Pelodiscus sinensis: one gene and its partner. The protein of the gene in region 1 interacts with the protein of each later gene in a pairwise test. Links are inferred from orthologs where the notes say so. Each region holds a gene or a part of one and is shown in the gene's direction. Other genes may lie near its edges. The genes, in order: IFT25 and IFT27.

The links.
Region 2: the proteins of IFT25 (region 1) and IFT27 interact in binary tests that used the Homo sapiens proteins (3 or more experiments, as listed by UniProt). The two-hybrid records come from large-scale screens. The link is inferred for Pelodiscus sinensis from reciprocal best matches to the Homo sapiens genes IFT25 and IFT27.

What each region holds. Positions count from the first base shown.
Region 1 is NC_134719.1:11,241,197-11,249,380, reverse strand, and holds the start of IFT25 (intraflagellar transport protein 25 homolog), read left to right. Parts: upstream 1-5,055; 5' UTR 5,056-5,151; intron 5,152-5,364; exon of another isoform or gene 5,365-5,587; intron 5,588-8,184. Other genes in the region: LRRC42 (leucine-rich repeat-containing protein 42), read right to left, coding at 1-37, 1,100-1,231, 3,816-4,288. UniProt on the Homo sapiens protein: Component of the IFT complex B required for sonic hedgehog/SHH signaling.
Region 2 is NC_134711.1:93,194,668-93,202,636, forward strand, and holds the start of IFT27 (intraflagellar transport protein 27 homolog), read left to right. Parts: upstream 1-4,866; 5' UTR 4,867-4,991; coding exon 4,992-5,025; intron 5,026-7,969. UniProt on the Homo sapiens protein: Small GTPase-like component of the intraflagellar transport (IFT) complex B that promotes the exit of the BBSome complex from cilia via its interaction with ARL6. Not involved in entry of the BBSome complex into cilium. Prevents aggregation of GTP-free ARL6.

The sequences.
Region 1 (8,184 bases):
TGATAAACAATTATCCTTCAGGAGGAGCCGAGTTACACTAGGATAAAGAATGTAAAGTTAGTTTGTAAAGGAATAATGTAAAGTTTTTAGGATAATTGTTAGCATTTCATGTGCAAAGTCTAGAATTTTTTCCTAATACCTGCTTAGTCTATCACTCCTTTACTCCTTTAAAAGGACCAATAAAACAAGAGGCCTTTTTGGTATTTTCCCTGTTTTCTCTGAAGTCTCCGCTGAAGCAATTACCTAACAAACTTCCCAAAGTTTCACTGACACAGGCAACACTGGAACATACCACCCTGCTAATTCAGGCACTAAGATTCTTTGTTACTTGAACTACTTGGGCTCACCAATTTCAACCCCTTTCAAAATCGGAAAAGGAAAATCTTGCTTGACATACAGGAAAAGGCATAATTGGTAGGAGATATAAGGAAGTATTGCAAACAAGAATAAATGAAATCCCCAAAAGTTTATAGATATACTTCCACGGCATCCTTTTAAAACACAATCTTGAATCAAACAAATGGAAGTCTTATGTAGTAGTAACAGTTATTAATTAATAAACACAATTAACCTAATAAAGTTTCACAATTTTCCATCTTTTAGATCTCTAGGAGCTCAAAAAGATGGCTATATAAAGATTTTAGAAAACAAATACTAGACAAAAGATGTAAGTTATTAATATCTCATCCTGACATTAATGCAATTAAAATTATTATTTTGATAAAGTTCTCCCCCAAAAGTTAATAAGCAAATTTAATAGGGAAAGTTTACAGCAGTTGGAAATTAAGTTTTGCAATAATGACTGTATATTATAAACAGAAAATGAAAAATGTAGAAAACAGTTAGCTAGAACTTTTATTTCAACTTTCATAATTGTAGAACTTGTCTAAAGACTCAGCACATGGTTGGTATTTTGCAATTTGGGTTATAAACTCTGATGCTTGCTTTTTCTGCCTTAAGAAGTGAGTTTATAGACAACTGAAAACCCCCAATAAAAGTGCTTGTTTCCTATGAAACTTTAAAGAGACAGTGTGATTCTGTGAATTTCTTAGTGATGGAAAAAAATGCTGGTCAATTACACATATCAATATATTGGTACCTAGACAGAGCTTCTTTGGTGATATGTTCTAGCAATTCATGGTTATCTCCAAGTTTACAACAGGAAAGATCCAAGCAGGTCAGCTCCCTGAAAGACTTAATTTCTTCAAGTTTTTCAGAAATAACCAGATATCTGTAAAGAGCAGAAAGCTATGAACATTTAAATGCACTAAAAGTACAGTCATAGAAGGTGTCTACTTCTCCTTGGCATTATGCCAGCTGCCATGTGAAAAATGCCTAGAATGAGTAAGCTCTCATCATTATCTATCCAGGCTGCAGTCCATTTGGAACACATGCTCAGATTCTTACTCAATGTCTTATATCAACATTTTAAAGACATTTGAAAAGGACAAATCAAATTTCAGAACAGAAGAGGGATGATGGGGGGAGGTAAATGCTCTAATCCCACTGACAGAGACCAGAAACTTCAGGATCTCTACCAAGCATTTATAAACCTCAATTACCCACCTGGAGAAATAAAAAAACAAATTGAAAGAGCCAGACAAATACCTAGAAACCATCTACTTCAAGACAGACCCAAGAAAACCAACAATAGAACACCACTTGTCATCACCTACAGCCCCCAACTTAAACCTGTCCAACACATTATCAATAAACTTCAACCTATCCTGGATCAGGATACTAAACTCCGAGAGGCTCCTATAGACAACCACCTAACCTCAAGATGATTCTTACCAACAACCACAGGACATACCACACTAATACCAACCCTGGAACCTTCCCTTGCAACAAACCCTGTTGCCAGCTTTGTCCACATATTCATTCTGCTGATACCATTATTGGACTAGCCAATTGAGTTATAAGATCAAGAACACGTATTCCTGCTCATCCAGAAATATAATTTATGCTATCGTGTGCCGAAAGTGTCCGTCTGCTATGTACATTGGACAAATGTCTCAGACACTTCGCCAAAGAATCAATGCCCACAAAACAGATATTAGACAGGATCACAAAGAAAGAACAGTTTCTTGCCATTTCAACCAGAAAGGGCATTGTCTCAACGACTCGATTACCTGCATCCTGCTTCAAAGACCTTTTAACACCAGACTTGAAAGAGAATCCTCTGAACTGTCATTCATGCTTAAATTCGACACTTTAAGTCCAGGTCTAAACAAAGACATGAATTATCTTACCCATTACAAAGATAGCTTCCCCAATTATCACCTCTAATATCATTAGCTCACAGACATTTACCTCCCACCCTCATCCCATTCTGTTCTGAAATTTGATTTGTCCTTTTCATATGTGTTCATTTTTTTAAATTGTATCCTTTGGTATATATGGTTGTGCCAATTTTCTTTCACTATTTTATCTGAGGAAGTGGGTCTGGCCCACGAAAGCTCATCACCTAATAAACCATCTTGTTAGTCTTTAAAGTGCTACATAGTCCTGTTTTTTGTTTCAGCTACACCAGACTAACACGGCTACATTTCTATCATTATATCAACATTGTGACTCTGATCTTAACTCAAAAATTACTTGCTACATAACCAGTGACTTTAACATGCAAAGACAGCTATTACTACCAGATCACAAGACATATCAGTCCAAATCAAACAGTGCAACTGATGTTTCATGGCCAAAACAAAAGCCTCGACTTGAGAAATAAAGAGGACAAAAAGGTTTTCCATAGGAAGCCATCTTTCATTCATGGAAAATGCAGTCCACGAGTAAACTGGCATGCAATTTGATCATTCTGAGAATGAAGTGACAACTGGTACGCCTGATGTTTTTTTTAGTAAAAACTTTTCTATATTACTCATGCCAGTTTTGGAATCCAAGAATGATGTCCCTATATGCTTTGATTTATACTGGTTCATATTTAAAAGACTCAAAAGAATATAAACTGTGTGAATGTAAACTACAAATCCCAATAAAATATTATCCTAATTTAAGCCTTGTAAGGAGAAACTTTTCTGGTTGTGTTAGAACTTGATCAAAGAGGGGAAGACACAGAATGTCCTTGGTCAAGGTGTGTTCAATATGAAGGGCATGCAACACATATAGACATAAACAGTAATTAATAAAATGTAATACGAGGTCTTCTGACTTCAAAACCTGTAATAACATTACACAGCTATGCTCTTCTCCCCCCTGCCTTTGGGTACTTGTATCCTTCATATGAGAAATGTGATAGTAGACATGGAATGTCCCAGTGGGACTGTGTGCTAGAAAATTTTGCTGGCTATACAAGTCAAAGTAAATGCCGAAATCGTTTAATTAGTTCAGACAAAATTTAGTTATTAACACTCCTATGAGGAAGGTAAGTAAGACAAGCTTGTCTCTCTCACCAACAGAAAATGCAATAAAAGATACTGCCTCACCCATCATCTTGTCTTGAGTATCCTGGGACTGACATGGCTACAACTACAGTGCAGACAACAAGGTAGGCATGTTGTGAAGATTATGTTTCAAAGCACCATACAAGAGCCAAGTGTTAGCATGCTACAAATAAAGCTGCAGGTTTTATCCTTCAATTCAGATTACAGAATGTGTTCATGTGGATTTAGAGGATTAACTGGCAGATATTAAGTTCTGCATTACAGATGCAAAAATTAAACATGTGCTATCAAAAACAATACTTCATGGAGTAAGCAATACTCCAATAAGCAATCATCCAAATCAATAACATGTTTATATTTAATTAAAAAATAAATATTAACAAACATAAGTTTCATGTTACTGAATGCACTTACCTATTCTGTAAACATAATGAACAAAGCACCAGACTTCCATAAGCCTCAGTAAATTTTTGTAATGCTCTGAGTCCTATAACTGGTTCTGTGAACTTTTGCCTTGCTTCTGCAGCAGAAAAAAGCTTTTCAGCAATCTGCTCTGGAAAGCCAATCAATGAATCAATATGATCAACATTGTCAGAAATGTAATCCAACACTAGGCCGAAGAGAGACTTGGCTGAGTATCGGAGATTCCCCTCCTTAGTATAAGTAAAGATGAAATGATCTGTTCTCTCTTTCCTTGCACTGTCATCTTCTCTGTTCATACAAAGCTCCACAGAGAATCCTTTAGAAAATAGTCTAAACCGCTTGGGTTTTGGAATAGCATTATTTACAGTGCCAGAATCCTGATCTACCATATACAGGTGCCCATTTTCACGCACATATATTGGGCCTGTATCCAAAAGGCTTTCTGACTTGAGGCAGTAAGACATTCCCCTTTAGTTTCTGCAAAAACAAAATGAGAAATGAATAAAGAATTAAAGCAAATGATATCATTTTGGAAATGTTTCAATCCAAGTTAATTTCCTTTGGCACCCTAGGCAGCCCATTATAATGTATCCATATGATACAGTGAAAGCATGGCTGCCTATAATACACTCTTGGGCTGCCAGCAACAACAAAATATGGGAACTAGAACTCATTCCTTCAGAATGACAGGTCTTTTCCACATACTACTGAGGATCAAGAAGGGGCCTCCTGTAACATGGTGTAGATCTGACTGCATTTAGCAGAGCACAGTGCTTGCTACACCTTACACACTACTCAGTACATTACAACTATTTCATTCAAATAATCGTGTACATTGCACATGGCCAGAGCCTTGGGCAGATACAAAATGTGTATCCCCATCTGCAAAAATGAGTTGCAGATATCCACATGGACATCTCCAGATGCGGATGCTGATGGATGTAAAGCAGATATCTGCACATCTGCAGGGTTCAAGGTACACATTTTGCATCTGCATTTGTATCTGCAAAAATGAGCCGTGGATATTCCCATCCATGATGTAAAGCCGATATCCGCAGATGTGCAGGGGCCTGCTCATTAACTTAGGGCTTTCGGTTAAAAAACAAAAAAAGGAAGCGTGCCACAGAAGTTTGTCCTGTGTTGTGCGCCCTCTCCTAGCTCAAGGCTGCACGCCCGGCTGAGGGGCTTTCCAGCACGCCGGCTCGGCCTGCACAAGGGGTCCCTGTCTGCACCACCCCCTGGCGGCATGCTTCGCCCCTGCCCCCTTCGGCAGCACTGCGGCAAGACCTGGCTTTGTCTGGCGCTGTGGCAGGCGCAGCCCCGCAGGGTGGGCGGCCGTTCGCAGGGATGCCCCGGTCTCGGCCCAGGGGGGGGGGGGGGCTCCTGCCTTGGACCTTTCCCCCGCAGGGCGCTTGGTGCCGGGGCCCGGCCGCAGAGGGCTAGCTGGGGGTGGCGGGGCCGCCCCTTTCCCTGGCGCCCGGCCAGCCCCGTCGCTCCGAGCACGGGGCGCGGGGAAAGTTGCCCCGAGCCCCCGACCTACCTGCTCCGGGCACGGGCCGTCCCCGGAGCCCCCGCCTGGCGCGGCCGCTCGCAGGGGCCGGGGCTCGCGCCGCAGGCCGGTCCCGCCCCGGGGGCCACAAAGGGGAGAGCGGGGGCGCGCCGGGGAGCTGAGCGACGGGAGCGCGCGTGCGCGGGCGGCCGGGCGGAGAAAGCGGCGGGGAGACCCCGGGGGGAGCGCGCGGCGTCTCCGCCCGAGACTGGAGGCGAGTCCCTGAGCCAGGGGCGGGGACCCAGGGGAGGCGGGGGCTGATCGGACAATAGAGGGTGCTGGGCGCATGGGGCCATGGGAAGGGGAAGGTGCCGAGGGGAGGTGGGGCAGGGAGCAGGCTCTGGGACATGGGAAGGGGAAGGTGCTGAGGGGAGGTGGGGCAGGGAGCAGGCTCTGGGGACATGGGAAGGGGAAGGTGCTGAGGGGAGGTGGGGCAGGGAGCAGGCTCTGGGGACATGGGAAGGGGAAGGTGCCGAGGGGAGGTGGGGCAGGGAGCAGGCTCTGGGGCATGGGAAGGTGCCGAGGGGAGGTGGGGCAGGGAGCAGGCTCTGGGGACATGGGAAGGTGCCGAGGGGAGGTGGGGCAGGGAGCAGGCTCTGGGGCCATGGGAAGGGGAAGGTGCCGAGGGGATGTGGGGCAGGGAGCAGGCTCTGGGACATGGGAAGGGGAAGGTGCCGAGGGGAGGTGGGGCAGGGAGCAGGCTCTGGGACATGGGAAGGGGAAGGTGCTGAGGGGAGGTGGGGCAGGGAGCAGGCTCGGGGACATGGGAAGGGGAAGGTGCTGAGGGGATGTGGGGCAGGGAGCAGGCTCGGGGACATGGGAAGGGGAAGGTGCTGAGGGGAGGTGGGGCAGGGAGCAGGCTCTGGGACATGGGAAGGGGAAGGTGCTGAGGGGAGGTGGGGCAGGGAGCAGGCTCTGGGGACATGGGAAGGGGAAGGTGCTGAGGTGATGTGGGGCAGGGAGCAGGCTCTGGGGACATGGGAAGGGGAAGGTGCCGAGGGGAGGTGGGGCAGGGAGCAGGCTCTGGGGACATGGGAAGGGGAAGGTGCTGAGGTGATGTGGGGCAGGGAGCAGGCTCTGGGACATGGGAAGGGGAAGGTGCCGAGGGGAGGTGGGGCAGGGAGCAGGCTCTGGGGACATGGGAAGGTGCTGAGGGGAGGTGGGGCAGGGAGCAGGCTCTGGGGACATGGGAAGGGGAAGGTGCTGAGGGGAGGTGGGGCAGGGAGCAGGCTCTGGGGACATGGGAAGGGGAAGGTGCCGAGGGGAGGTGGGGCAGGGAGCAGGCTCTGGGGCATGGGAAGGTGCCGAGGGGAGGTGGGGCAGGGAGCAGGCTCTGGGGACATGGGAAGGTGCCGAGGGGAGGTGGGGCAGGGAGCAGGCTCTGGGGCCATGGGAAGGGGAAGGTGCCGAGGGGATGTGGGGCAGGGAGCAGGCTCTGGGACATGGGAAGGGGAAGGTGCCGAGGGGAGGTGGGGCAGGGAGCAGGCTCTGGGACATGGGAAGGGGAAGGTGCTGAGGGGAGGTGGGGCAGGGAGCAGGCTCGGGGACATGGGAAGGGGAAGGTGCTGAGGGGATGTGGGGCAGGGAGCAGGCTCGGGGACATGGGAAGGGGAAGGTGCTGAGGGGAGGTGGGGCAGGGAGCAGGCTCTGGGACATGGGAAGGGGAAGGTGCTGAGGGGAGGTGGGGCAGGGAGCAGGCTCTGGGGACATGGGAAGGGGAAGGTGCTGAGGTGATGTGGGGCAGGGAGCAGGCTCTGGGGACATGGGAAGGGGAAGGTGCCGAGGGGAGGTGGGGCAGGGAGCAGGCTCTGGGGACATGGGAAGGGGAAGGTGCTGAGGGGAGGTGGGGCAGGGAGCAGGCTCTGGGGACATGGGAAGGGGAAGGTGCTGAGGTGATGTGGGGCAGGGAGCAGGCTCTGGGGACATGGGAAGGGGAAGGTGCCGAGGGGAGGTGGGGCAGGGAGCAGGCTCGGGGACATGGGAAGGGGAAGGTGCTGAGGGGAGGTGGGGCAGGGAGGAGGCTCTGGGACATGGGAAGGGGAAGGTGCTGAGGGGATGTGGGGCAGGGAGCAGGCTCTGGGGACATGGGAAGGGGAAGGTGCCGAGGGGATGTGGGGCAGGGAGCAGGCTCGGGGACATGGGAAGGGGAAGGTGCTGAGGGGAGGTGGGGCAGGGAGCAGGCTCTGGGGACATGGGAAGGGGAAGGTGCCGAGGGGAGGTGGGGCAGGGAGCAGGCTCGGGGACATGGGAAGGGGAAGGTGCCGAGGGGATGTGGGGCAGGGAGCAGGCTCTGGGGCCATGGGAAGGGGAAGGTGCTGAGGGGAGGTGGGGCAGGGAGCAGGCTCGGGGACATGGGAAGGGGAAGGTGCTGAGGGGATGTGGGGCAGGGAGCAGGCTCTGGGGCCATGGGAAGGGGAAGGTGCTGAGGGGAGGTGGGGCAGGGAGCAGGCTCGGGGACATGGGAAGGGGAAGGTGCCGAGGGGAGGTGGGGCAGGGAGCAGGCTCTGGGGACATGGGAAGGGGAAGGTGCCGAGGGGAGGTGGGGCAGGGAGCAGGCTCTGGGGACATGGGAAGGGGAAGGTGCCGAGGGGAGGTGGGGCAGGGAGGAGGCTCTGAGGACATGGGAAGGGGAAGGTGCCGAGGGGATGTGGGGCAGGGAGCAGGCTCTGGGGACATGGGAAGGGGAAGGTGCTGAGGGGATGTGGGGCAGGGAGCAGGCTCTGGGGACATGGGAAGGGGAAGGTGCCGAGGGGAGGTGGGGCAGGGAGCAGGCTCTGGGGACATGGGAAGGGGAAGGTGCTGAGGGGATGT
Region 2 (7,969 bases), on another chromosome or scaffold:
GCACAACTGTGACGTGCAGCAGCTAAGATCCAGAGAGACTGATTTTGCCTGGCCAACAGGGGAAGTCTGTCTTTATCAGGATTGGTGAGCATGGCACTGTGTGCGTAGCATGTGTATTCTGCTTGTTTGGGAATTGTCAATAAATAGAGGATAAGAATATTACTGTGTGAGGATCTTTCAGTGGCTAAAGAACCTGCAAAACCTGCAGGAAGTTATGCCCTGTGCCCTAGAAATTGGGTACAGGTGGGTCTGTAAATTAACAGGGTTGCACCTTGAGCCCTAGGAATGGGGTAAAGGTGTGTGTCCCTACAGTGTGGAAGAGATAGAGACATTTGTGTGGGTAACAGGGTAGGCTATAGCCTTAGGCCCTCTTATTTTTAGGCCCTAATATTTAGTCTTTCCTAATGTTTAGGCCCTACCACAGACTCTCTATTTCATATCAAGGCAACAGCAGAGCAACAGTGGCAGGAACATCAGAAATCTTTTGTCTTGTTAGATATTGCTTTGTACAAATTAATCCATTGACATTGTGAATTCAATTTATGGTGGTTGTGATTTTGTCTTCATGGGTTATGTAAGTGTTTATGGGCCTGAGCAATATTGAACTTTGAATACAGTAGGCCTAGACTGGACAATAGAAACCACGTTGAAAAAAAGGAGAATGGCAGAAACTGAAGGAGGCTAAAGAAAGATGGAAAGGTACTCCTCTCCTAACATTTTTTTTCTTCAGACCAAGGCTGGTGAGGAAGTCCAAATACCAGCCCAAGTTAACCTGCTGCACCTGATAAAAAGAATCCGCTTTCTGTGAGTTCTCTAGCTGCAGTCCTCCACTCCTCTGAGACTTTTCAGTGACAGTAATATATAATTATCATTCTCCAATGATCTAGGCAAGTGGGGCATGACATGTCAAGATCTCATTGCATATTAGACTGAGAAGAGTCCACAGAAATGCCAGAGTCTACGTGCTTTTTCACTGACAAAGTGAGGGTACATCAATCAGAATGATTATCTGACCAAATCAATGTTTAAAGATGTGAAGCCTAACACAACATTGGCAAGTGAGAATAGCTCATCTATGCACCTTCTAAGTGTATTGTTTTTATTGCCACCTGTTTTCAAATACCAAAATGTAAGGAATGTTCAGTGAAGGCTTCAATGATTGAAAAAATGTCACAAACACATTACCAGTCATGCAATGAGTGAGCTGCATACATTGTCAGTTAGCAGCTATCATACCCAAAAGAAAGTTAGTGGCAGAATTGAAACCCAAATGCAAAACCAGTTTTTGAAAGCTTGTGCTTATTGGAAGAATGTTCTCAGATGTGTAATTGAGACCATAGATTTTTTTCTTTGCCTTTGCATGGTTCAGATGAGATTGTTGGATCAAAACACAATGGTAATTACCTCAGCATTCTAGAGCTAATGGCTAAATTTGACCCTTTCTTAGCTCAGCATATTAATGAACACACAAACCACAGAAAAGGCCATATATCATACCTATCAAAGACTATTTGTGATGAATTCATTGGACTGTTGGCAAAGAAGACACTGTCAGTCACTGTAGATGAGCTCAAAGATATGGGATATTTTTCCATGTCCGTCAAGTCAACATCAGATCTGTCACATCTATATCAGCTATCATCTTGCATTATGTGCCACTCAGTGTCGCGAGAATCACAGGTCCGATAATGAATACCCAAGGGGGGAAGGACAGAACCAGGTGGACAGTTTTATGACAGTGATGAATTTATAGTATTATTCTGAGATTTTTTAATAGACCGTGTTAATAATGAATTTACAGTATTTATTATATTTATTCTATGGTTTCTAGTAAAACGTGTCAGAGATATAGGGATGGGAATGGCAAGGGGAATAGTCTCTAATCTTAAACTATCCAGCTACAGTAATTAAATAACAGTGATAACTACAAACTCTTATGTACTACCCAAAAACAACTACAACACTAAGCTTATACAACAAGAAAAAATCAAATCATACATACCAACTTACACAGCACACGGAACATTTCCCAGATATTGGTTCGGTTGCGAAGGCCTTGGTTACGCCCGAGAGTCGGGGGAGGTGGCTGGTCGGTTGATCAGGCTGGTAGCGCTTGGAAGTATACGAGAAGGCACACGCACGGTGGTACGTGTGTTGCGAAGACCTCCTAGAGCGAACTGTGTCATGGGTATTTATCCCCAAATCTGCACATCGCTTTCCCGTGCTTGCATATTACCATATATGGCCCAATGGTCACCAAGTGGGGGGTCTGTGTCCCAGGGGTTGGGCCGAAACTGTGCAGGTTTCATGTGACCAGGTAAGCCCCGCAGTTCTCATGCCAAGGTGACAGGTGGGAGAGTCTGAGGCTATTTTCCCCTTTTCACACCTTTCCTTTTTCTAAAGGCAATGGTATGCAGGAAGGGTGTGGCCGGTTTCTCTCAAGGAGTACTGCAGAACAAGAGCGGCCTGGCCAAACTTTTTTACTGGGGGGGGGGGGGCAGTTTCTTTTCTCTAATACTCAGCAGACCACTTGAGCATTTAGTGACTTTCATAAACATCACCTACTATGCAGGAGGGAAATTAGCCTTGTACCTACTTGATTTCCTCACCAAAAATGACATTAATATCAGCCTTTGTCATGGCCAAACCTATGACAATGCAAGTAATAGAAGTAGCAAATATTCAGGGATGCAGGCAAAGATTAAAAAAAGCGCAGTGCTTTGATTGATTATATACCACGTACTGTTTTCTCACTCAACCTTGTTGGCTGCCATGAATCGTTGTGTCAAAGCAGTTTTTCTTTCTTTCTCCAAGAATTGTACAGATTTCTCTCTGTTTCAACCAGTTGTGGGGGTGATTCTTAAAGATTCACTACCAAAGGGATATCCAGTGCCCAAATCATTCTCAGGGGCACAGTGAAGCACCAGTGCTAAAGCTGTGAATGCAGTTGTTCTGGGATACCCCAACATCCTTGAAACACTAGATAGCATCAAGGATGATCAAGCTAATAAAAAATCAGCAAGAAGAAAAGAAGCAAAGATTCTGAATGATGCAATATGCACTTTGGAAACTGGTATTTTGTGTGAGGTCTGGAATGATACACTTCATCCATTCAGCAGGTGCAATCTGAGCTTGCAAAGTGCTAGAATTGACCTTTCCACTGCTGTAAATCTAATGAGGAGTCTTGGAACTGCTGTTCAACGTATGTAAGATAGTTTTGATGAGTATGAAATTCAGGCGGCGGCTGAAAGAACTGCTAAAACATGAATATAAGTCAGCCAACCACAGTAAAAGTCAGAAAACATGATGATCCAAATGTCCACTCATTCTGTGACAAGGTGGTCTTCAGAGTTAATCCCTTCAGAGTTAATTACTGACACACACAAAAGTTCATTAAAACATCAAATCAAGGCTTGCAAAAAGATTGACAAAACCTTTAGTGTACTGACATTTTTCACCTAATATTTCAAGTTCTAAAATCAGTTGAAGTATCTGTCAGAGGTTCCCAGAAGATCTCCCAGTAGATTTTACTAAAAGAATTTCTTCAATTTGTTGAATGCACATCACTCTCAAATATAAAGATGACAAAAGCAAATCTATTTGGATGTACCATCACAGAATTCAATGAGATAGAATGTTTCCCAAAAGTTGAAACTGCATTATAGCTTTATTCGTCACTAAAGATTACTAACAGCAGTTGAGAACATTCCTTTTCTCTTTCAACAGGGGTTGAAATTGTCTTCTGATCTATGAGTATTTCAGTGCTTTGTCCCTCTTGAGCATCAAGAATGAAATCGTCAAGTCTTTTGAGTTATGATTATATCGTTCATGGCTTTGCCACAGTTAAAACTAGGGTAAAAATTTGGTTTCAAGAATTTAGTCATATGAGTTTATAAACTTGCTAATTTTACATAATGAATATGCAAATAAGTGCATACACGTCTGACTGCTTCACAGTTCCTTGTAATATGTAATTCACACTCAGGCCCCTCATAACCTTAATCGGGCCCTGGTTACCTAATGATGTGGGCTCTACTGTGCCCCCGCCACCTAACAGCTTGCAGGAGGAGGGGGCTGTCGCGGCAATAATGCACCGGGGCTGCAACACAGTCACACACGCAGCGCAGCCCAAGAGCCAGCTGAACAAGCCAAGGGACCAAGGGACGCACGCGCAGGCCCACGAGCAAACAGAACCGGGAGGGAGCGAGACGGTGGGAAAGTATCGTGCGCATGCGCAGAAAACTCCAGTTACGCTAACGTTTAGCGAACGCGCTTTGTGGAAGAGCCCATTATGTACCGAAGGGCTCAAGCCGTCACAGTTCTTTATCTCACCCCCGCTCTTTCCCCCAGAACTCTACCAGGACATGACCCCACCTATTGGTAAAACTTTCTGGTCCATCTTTTTTTTCCCTAACTCTCCCCATGGAATAATTCCGCCTAGAGATGGTACGGGCCACCGTGGTCTGTCCAATTAAAAACAGGGTCCTTGGAATGTCATTAGTTGCTGGGTAGAAACAGCATCAGGCGCACGCGCACTGACCCAGAATTGCAGCGTTGATGACTTCATCCCCGGCTTCAGCTCAGGCCGCTTAACCGCTCGCATTGGGCGGGGCCTTTGATTGGCAGACACGCGTACCAATAAGCAGTACATCCCTGAACCAATGGCCTCAGAGTATTCGAGGAGGCATCCGTCCCACAAGGCGGAGCCAAATGGAAAGGGGACTCAATAGCCACCCGAGCGGCCGGTGGGATGGGCAGCACCGCCAGCCAATCGCCTGTCGCAGAAGCGGGCGGCGCCAAGGAGGGCGGTGACTGGCTGAGGGGGCGGGGGGTTGCTAGGGCAGCACCAGGAGCGGGGCCAGGGCTGTGGAGCCTCCGATGTGGTCCGAGTTCGAATAGCCACCCCCCCCCCCCGCTCATCCCCTTCTAACCCACCTCCCCCACTGAGGCCCTAACCCCTCCCCTCGGGCAGGGCTCGCGGCAGCCGGACCATGGTGAAACTCGCCGCCAAGTGCATCCTGGCAGGTGAGCTCGTCCTCGCGCCTCGACTGCCCGCGCTGCGCCCCGCGCGCCTCTGGGCTCGCTCGCTGGGGCGGAAGAAGAGCGGCGCGAGCCCCAGCGACTCTGGCGCTGCAAACTACGCGGGGCTGGAGCCCCCGGGGCGCTGGGCGGGGCCTGACCCCCACGGATGGGCCAGCGGAGGGATTCAGTAATGCCCCCAAGGGGCCAGTGCTTTAAACATCCGCCCGCTGCCCTTTCCTGATCCCCCCCGGCGCCCTGCCCCCGCCACGCTGCTTCATTTTGTAGAGCGACCTTCATTCCAGAGGAATCCACTTTCTAATGTGCTAAGGGGGGGGCTTGATCCTTGCTGCACCCCAGACCCTGCCCACACCCTGTCCTCAAAGGTTCTGCCCTTGCTTTGCCCTTCCCACTTCTCCTGGTCCTGTTCTGCCCCCTTTCCCTGAGCACACACGGCTCTCATGCCTCCCCCTTCCAGTACTTCTTGCATGCCATGCGATAGCTGATCAGGATGGGCAGAAGGAGCTGGGAGATGGGGAAGGAGCTGATCAGGGGTCTGTCTATCAGCCCTGGAACACCCATAGAGTCGTCACCCATGCCTCACAGCAATAGTATTCTAGTGAATACAGATGTATAAAAAGCAAAGGGTAACAAACTAAGAGGTACAGATGAGGAAATATGTATCCAGATGAGCTAGGAAATATGATGCAAGCCAGTGAAAAAGATACAGGATCAAAGACCACTCTCTTCACAACAATGGAAAGATGATATGACAGGAAGGGTGAGAGAAACAGAATGAAGAGCCAAGCCCAGTTTCATGAAATAGACTGGCACATTCCCTTTTGTGCTGAAAGAAAAAGTATGTGTGAAATAAAGATGATTACAAACAACGAGGCGGGGGGAAGTATGGTGTTAGTCAAGTGTGAAAATAAGAGAAAGGCAGATGTGTCTGAGGAGAGGCTCTTCTTGCTCAAGAGAAGCACAAGATTACCTGAAAGAACCAGAGATAAAGCTGCAGGTTTGGCCAAGACACTGTTAAGGAGTTGTGAAGTATGTACACTTGAATGCCATCAAACAATAGTAGCAAGACATCAAATGTAAAGATAACTGAAAAGCATAGGTATAGTTCTACTTCTGTCTTTGGGAAGGAGACAGCTCCAATCAGGGCAACAGGACCATGCATGGAGGGCAAATTCTGTACCATCTGAGGTTTACATTGTGAAAGGCAGCAGGTAAAATGAAATATTCTTACTTCCCTGTTTGATTCAGTAAACAGGAAGGCTACGTCTAGACTGGCATGATTTTCCGGAAATGCTTTTAACGGAAAAGTTTTCCATTAAAAGCATTTTCAGAAAAGAGCGTCTAGATTGGCACGGACACTTTTCCGCAAAAGCGCTTACAGGTTTTGGCCATCTTGACCCAGTGAAGGCAGGTCTTGAACCCGCAACCCTGTCCTCCCCTGTGTGGCAAAGTGCTCAAAACTCAGAACACCTTAGAGCCCCAGATTGGAGATCTTACAAACAGGTCACAAACCAGTTTCACCGACCACTTCAGCTGCCAATCTGGCCAGCCAGAAGCCTCACTAGCAAAACCCCTCTGACACCCCAGCTCTTCCAGTGTCCTAATCATCCCCGGGCCTAACACACAGGTGAGGGGTTTTAGAACCCAATCTCATCTACCCTGAACAGGTTCTTCTGGTCCCAAGAAACCAGCCACAGTTCCCAGATCAAGTTACACTCTGGGTCTTACCGACAAGATTACGCGGAGCCAATCCTTTAGAATCTAAAATCTAAAGGTTTATTAAAAAAAGAAAGAAAAGCATGAGAGTAAGGTTGTTAAAGAAAATACATTACATGCATCGAATCACCCAGTTCTCAATACAGGCTCTTAGCAGAGGTGTTATAAACTGCTATCTTAAAAGTCTCTGGTGTACATCCTATGTCAGGACAGGTCCACAGTTCTTCTCAGCTTGTTGTTCCCTGCAAGGCTGCATCTGGGATCAGGAGCTGAACTCAAGACCAGCTGGAGGGTGCCACAAGGCATTTGTATACTGCCCCGGCATCTTCCTGGCCAGAGAAGGTCACATGGTCCAACGACCTATCCCTGTGTCCCATGCTGGCAGCCCTTCTGCCCTGGCTGGTTTACAGATATCAGTCACATTCCTGAGGTGTGTATTGGCACCTAGAGTTTCATTGTCTCCTTGCTAGTTAGCATAGCTAAGCATTCCTTCCCCATTGCTCAGCCACAGACAGAGAATTTTCCAGCATCCCTACAGAGTACATGTTTATAACTCCATATACAGATATAATACAAGTACACGAATAGCATATACAGAATCAGTAGAACATACGCTCTCATTTGACATCTCACATGGCCCCTTTGTACCAACTTTTGGGGCAAACACCCCCCTTGGGTGCAGCAGTGACCTGTCTGTAACGTGACATCCCCTATGCTTCCCCAAATTACACTGTGAAAGACACTAGATAAAACTAGAAAAGATTCTTACTTCCCTGTTTGATTCAGTAAGCACCAAAGGGGAAGAATCTTCATACTGAAGAGAGCCACAAAATAAAGGGGGGAATGCAATTAGGTGGGTAGAAGAAAGTCGTGTACCTACTCATCTGGAGGAGAGAGAGTGGATCACACTGGTGAGAGATGCACTGAGGTCAAGAATGAAAAAGAGAAAAAAAAATCTTCCGTTAGCAGAAAAACTATGTTAACTATGCAGTGGACAATGATTCCTTTGTTATCTCCAGGCACGATTTACAGTCAAGAGTATTGTTGTGTGAGCTAGTTGTTAAGAAAAAAGGGAAGATTAAAGATACGGCATTAGTTAGGCTGAAATTAATGTATTTAAAGAAGGTGCAAACAATATTTTGTTTTTAGAGAAATGGAGAAGGTGCAGGAGGGCAATGGAATTATTAACATTAGGAATAGTGTGAGGAGCAAT